2 linked regions of the Daphnia pulex genome follow. The protein of the gene in region 2 purifies or fractionates together with the protein of the main gene of each other region. This does not show direct contact. Links are inferred from orthologs where the notes say so. Each region holds a gene or a part of one and is shown on either strand. Other genes may lie near its edges.

What was found.
Region 1: the proteins of NADH dehydrogenase [ubiquinone] 1 alpha subcomplex subunit 13-like (region 2) and protein NDUFAF4 homolog purify together in Homo sapiens (co-immunoprecipitation; 4 studies listed by BioGRID and IntAct, counting the BioPlex papers as one, with this or other methods). This does not show direct contact. The link is inferred for Daphnia pulex from reciprocal best matches to the Homo sapiens genes NDUFA13 and NDUFAF4.

What each region holds. Positions count from the first base shown.
Region 1 is NC_060022.1:721,940-724,793, forward strand, and holds protein NDUFAF4 homolog, read right to left. Parts: upstream 1,312-2,854; 5' UTR 1,310-1,311; coding exon 1,153-1,309; intron 1,090-1,152; coding exon 784-1,089; intron 723-783; coding exon 565-722; 3' UTR 501-564; downstream 1-500. Other genes in the region: bromodomain adjacent to zinc finger domain protein 2B-like, read right to left, coding at 1,532-1,696, 1,756-2,021, 2,085-2,234, 2,319-2,843. UniProt on the Homo sapiens protein: Involved in the assembly of mitochondrial NADH:ubiquinone oxidoreductase complex (complex I). May be involved in cell proliferation and survival of hormone-dependent tumor cells. May be a regulator of breast tumor cell invasion.
Region 2 is NC_060018.1:5,771,263-5,774,205, reverse strand, and holds NADH dehydrogenase [ubiquinone] 1 alpha subcomplex subunit 13-like, read right to left. Parts: upstream 1,407-2,943; 5' UTR 1,338-1,406; coding exon 1,247-1,337; intron 1,114-1,246; coding exon 960-1,113; intron 879-959; coding exon 809-878; intron 744-808; coding exon 603-743; 3' UTR 549-602; downstream 1-548. Other genes in the region: paramyosin-like, read left to right, coding at 1,735-1,851, 1,915-2,121, 2,200-2,486. UniProt on the Homo sapiens protein: Accessory subunit of the mitochondrial membrane respiratory chain NADH dehydrogenase (Complex I), that is believed not to be involved in catalysis. Complex I functions in the transfer of electrons from NADH to the respiratory chain.

The DNA of each region.
Region 1 (2,854 bases), on a different chromosome or scaffold from region 2:
CACTACACCCTAGACCCTACACTTGCAATATCTGATTTTAACACTCTTATCATGTTGTTACTATAAATACTTGCACAGCTATTTACAACAGCTAAATAACTGTTTTTTTTTCTTCTAAAATTACACACCCAACCGTAATCAGTCGTAAATACAAACTAGCGTTTGACACCTAGAATGACGCATTTTCCTTCAAAACAACTTGAACGCAAAGCAACGTCAAAACCCACTGGTTGGTAAGAATTTGAAAGCGTGACATACCTATCGTTCTATCCCGACGGAATTGCAATATTTCATCGTTTTAATCACTCCAAAGTATGAAAAACATCAAAAACAACATACACGCCCACAAGATGCTAGCCCACCAAGCAAAGAGGACTAACACTAATCTCTAAATTTTGGCAGTGCAATGATGGCGTGTCGGCGTTGCCAAGCCACCAAAAAGAGAAGCATCGTTTGAAAAAAATAAAATAAAATCTTCACGCACGCAGGAAAATTACAAATATGTTTTATACTTTATTGAAATGGTTTTTCTTTTTCCCTACAATTAAGTACATTCATTTTAAATCAGCTCTTAATTTTATGGTCTTCTATTTGGGGTTGGACTGCTGTTTCATTTGCTGCTGGTAAAGATTTCAAATCTATATAATCTTTGACCTCTATTGCAGTTTTGACTTTTGGTGGCTTGTAGTATTCAAAAGTTTTAAAGTGTTTTAAAATGTTTCCTAAAATAAAAATTATTGCTTATAAATTATTTGAATAAACTCATTGTTTTCTATACTATACCTGACACTATCGGGTGAATGGTGAATTCCTTTGCCAATGCCAGAGCATCATATTTAGCAGGATCCTGTTGATGTCTCCCGATAAGCACTAGTGCTTGGCGAATACTCAATTTCCCTCTTGTTACTCTGACAGGTTCTTGGTAACCAAATTCTGCTTGTTCAACACTTTTTCTGTGTGATGGAAGGGGCTTTTCTGTGCTTATAGGTATTTCTGGTTTGTCATGTGAAGTTACATAAACTTCTTTCAGGCGACTGTTTAAGGTCTCATCTTTATTGTTGGATTGTTCCTCCATCAAATGTGGATTATCTAATAAACAATAACTATTTTTAGAATACGAATCACTATTAATAAAATCTCAAAAATACGTACTTTTCATGATTTCGTCAATTCTCTTCTGTGTGGTAGGGTGCCATGGAGCCGATATTGGCTTTTCCTTTGCCAACACTCTTTCGGTACGCGCTTCCACAGCAAAATTCTTAAAGGGCCTCATAGCTCTTTTCGTAATTTTAGCAGTTATATTCCCCATTGCGATTGTGACGAACTTTTCAACTTTACAAATTCAAACGAATCTCGCAACTGAAAATATTAGGTAATACTAATACCAAAGGCAAATACCAAGTGCAAAAGCAGTCGACAATCAAAAGTGTATTTATTTCAGGTTGACGGCGAACGCCATCTCGTGTACATGAATGAAAATATAAACTTTGGAGGGAAGCAAAAAAAAATCAGATTGCCGGTAATGCCACTATTAGAACGTTTCGAAAAGTACAAATGAGGCGACTTGTTCCCCTGTGTTGACCACGTGAAGAATACCCGCTTTAAGGTCAACAAGTCTCGTAGACGAGTTGAGTAAAATGCGACTTGGAACATGGGGATTGCTTCTAAATTCGACGCTTCCTTTGAGTCGCACGACCTGTATAACAAAAAATTTTTTAAATAAAGATTTAAATCAGTTACACCAGTTAAAGTTACCATTATCGGGTTATTAATTTTCAGAGCAAAAACAATTTTTGGCAGTAGATGAACCAACGACATGCTGTGTTCAGCGTTAGACAGTTGCTGTACTCGTACAGGATCGCCGGGTGAGGCCAAATAAAGATTGAATTGCGTCCGTAGATGACTGCGGTTTGGCACCGGAAGTGTAGACGGATCAATGGCGGAACTTAATGGGGCTTGGTTCGTTGAATTCGCAGATCGGAGCATAGTTCTTTTCAGTACTTCTTCAATAAGTCCAGAATCTAAATCCAATGAATACTTTGACATACAATTCAAATTTTAAATGAACTATAAAAAAAAAATACCATCCCCATGGGCATAGATGTCGTTTTCGAGATCGTTCAACTGTTGCGAGGATTTTACAGGGGATTGGAGTCGTTTAGTTGACGACTGTTTCTTTGAAGAATCGGGGAATCTTCTTCTCTTTGACAAAGGAGTTTCCTCGCTTGATTCTTCTAAAGACAAAACAGTTTGTTTGTAAATAAACAAAAGAGTGTGCACTGCGAGGCAAATTTTGTTTAAAATTCAGTTATCATTACCGTTTGCACGAGATGTTGAAGGCCTAATAAGTGGAGTTTCCTTTTGCGATCTCTTGTGCAGTTCTGCATTTGCAACATCTTCTGGAATGCTAATAGACTGCTCAACTCTATTCGGTGAAGATTCCTTGACCAAAGTAAGCGTTCGCCTGGGAGTCCGGGGCGGTGGTACCGGTTCGGGTAGGAAACGGAATTTCGAAGTTTTGGGTGTACCCAATTCTGAAACTTTGTTAGCGACTGAGGCTGGCGTTTTTAAAGTGGCAGAAGGAACCGAAATTTTATGACTTTTTGTTTTCTGAGGACTGAGAAAAATGTTATCGTCTTCGCCATCATCTTCGTCGTGCTCTTCGTCTTCCACTTTGTCGTCCTCTTCGTCTTCCACTTTGTCGTCCTCTTCGTCTTCCACTTTGTCGTCCTCTTCGTCCCCAACTTCGTCCCCAACTTCGTCCTCCACTTCGTCCTCCACTTCGTCCTCTACTTCGTCCTCTACTTCAGATTCTGAGCTGCTCAAGAAACGGTACTTCCTTTCTACAAATACA
Region 2 (2,943 bases):
ATAATAAAGTCAGCTGGAGAACCATCGATCTCTTTCGACTTTTCTATGCACACAGCTCTCTGCGGAATTGGAGTATCCTATATTGGGCAATGAAAATGTCATTCTAACTAGACCTTTAAATTTGCTATTCAACCTACAATTCTCTGATATTCGGCTGGTGCTGTTCTTCTATAGAAACAAATAAAATCAGACGGTACATTAAAAACATTCCCCACTACCTATGTTAAGTAATAAATGTTCGTATAAAACACGAAAGTCTAATTAATGATGCCTCACGTCTATTGGTGGAGGTTAGCTTTAAAAAAAATGCAGACAACGTAAAGCTTACAACGTCTTTGCTTCATCCGACTATATCATGCCTCTTGGCCAAATTCTTGATATTTTCTCCACAGATGATAAAACTTGTTTTTTTAAACTCCTTTTTAAATATGTTTCACCTAATTAATTTAATTGACTAGATGTCAATGTTTAACCTTCAAGCATATCATAATTATAATTTATGAGACTAAAAGAGAACATCTCCAAAACTCAAAGATCGCACAGTACCATTCAATACTCATTACTAGATTTTCCTGTTTTCACATTTACATCAGGAATGAAAACTAAACTTGGATTGCCTCTTCCATAGCTTTCTTGTAGAAATCCATATAAGGGGCATGGCAATAGTACTCACTAAGGATTGGATTAGAAAAAACATCCTTATCAAGTGTTTTAAAAATTGGTTGACCATTCCACTTGCCAACCTGAATGAAATGATGACCATTTTTTTAATATAGAAAAATTACAAAAATACAGGATATATGCATACCTCCCAGCCAGGGACATTGGCCATTAGTTTCTCCTCTTCATCTCGCAAAGCTCTGCAGTGCTTTAAGAATCTACAAAAAATTTAAGGAAATTACTTCTAAGAATTAGATTGTTGTATACTGATGAAATTTATAGTTTAAATTAATGCTTACGCTCTATCCTGTTCAGCCAACAGCAAAGGCAAGGTTGCTAAGTGAGAACCTTTTTTTTCAACCCTCCGATGGAGAATTCCAGGATAAAGATGGTTAAAGTAATAGTAGGTGGTGCAGCCATTGAGAATTATAAATCCAGCAAGCAACCTTCCTCCTGTATACACATTGTAAAAATATTGTAATTAGCAAATTAAGATGTAAGGTCTGTACTATTTGAACATAAAAAACCACATACATTGAAGGTAAATAAATCAAAACTATTCCACGAAAATGTAATCGAGACATACCTCTAAAGAATGTTTTTGCTGGATTACGAGCATACTGAATTTTTTCATATCCTCCAGGAGGTGGCAAATCTTGCTTGATGGTGGCATCCATCTTTGCTAACAGCTGGATACTGTTGTCTGTTGTAAACACCTGAATCAGCTATACAATCACCATCTGGCGGAAGATGGCAATAATCACAAATTTTCTGAGAAGGTAATTAAAATATTAATGCTGAAGATAAAAATATTTTCTTACTGTTCAAACTTCAAAGGAATAAGGGATGTTATTTTGATACCTTTTTTTTAGTTTCTGTGAGTTTATTGAATTAATATAAATGTATGGCAACTGCAGCAAAGTGCAGTTGTCGTTGTCATAGCGACGTGAAAATGGAATTGCAAAAGATGATTCAAATCAAAACAAACATATTCACTGCTGGTGATATTTTTCAGTTTACGTAACTACTACTTTTGATACTTGTCTTAATTCTTAAGTGACAAAAACTTCAAAAATGGATTTCCGGAAGAGTGATAGTCCAGATGAATACTACAAAGCGGTTCATCAACTTAAACAATTTTTGTCTGAAAGTGATAGTTCAGATCAACAAATTTATAGAAGTGGATTGAAGGTTGTATTAACTATTTCTAATGGTATAATCAAAACTGAATTGGTTCCTGTTCTTTGTGTACAGGCATCAGAAATAAGACGTGATCTTTCTTCATCAGAAAATTCAGAGACAAAATCACTTTCTGCTCGTAAAGCTCTCTTCAAGAGCCCAGTACCTCAAAAAAGTGGACTTTTGATTGAAGGAAATAGTTCAGATTACATTTTAACTGGAATGATTCAGAAGCAGATAATCTACATCAAAGCTTTGGAAAAAGAAGTGTCATTTTACAGGGTACTGCTGATATATTTACAGTTAATAATTTTTTGTTTTAAAATTTAAATGACAGTTTGGTTTTACAATACTTAACAGAAACAAGTACCTGGAATCATAAGTGAAACAAAGGTGATGATTTCAAATGAAGAGTCTAGTAGAATGGGCCAAGCAAATGTTGTGACACAAAGGCTATTTTCACTGATTGACACAATATCCAATGCAAAATTTTCTGTTAGTCATGAAAGTTGTGAAATTCAAAGAAAAAAAGTTTTGCAAGATTTAGCTGGAGCTCAACAACAGATCCAAGTGTTGAACCAACAATGGACAGAACATACTTGTTGGAATGGACAAAATAAATCAAAAACATCTGAAGACATCAGTAGGTATGGATCTCGTTTTCTATTACTTATTTTTATGTATGTTTTTGAACTTTTTTATGATGTAAAGAAATTATCAAAGGGTTAAGAATTTTCTGAAGTAGTCAACGTGGTAACGTGAAGTAATCGTGATAGCGTTTTTTAACACAAATGAAAGATTTTAGTTAATGAAAATTACATTCAAACTCTTCTCCTTCAATTGATTCAGAAACAGAAGGCTAGGTGGCGTAAGAAGGTTCGATTCGATTTTAAATCCTTTCTTGACGTTTTTCGTATTTTTACACCACGATTAATTTCCATTTACACAATTTCATCGATATTTTAATGTTCATATATAGATAAAGATGTTCTTTCTTTTTTGTTTTTAGTAGGAAAATCTATTGCTCCTTTTCCTATATCAAATTACAGCGGTCTTAGTTGTACGTTTTACGTATTCTAGTCAGTCTGCAAAAGCTCTTTATTT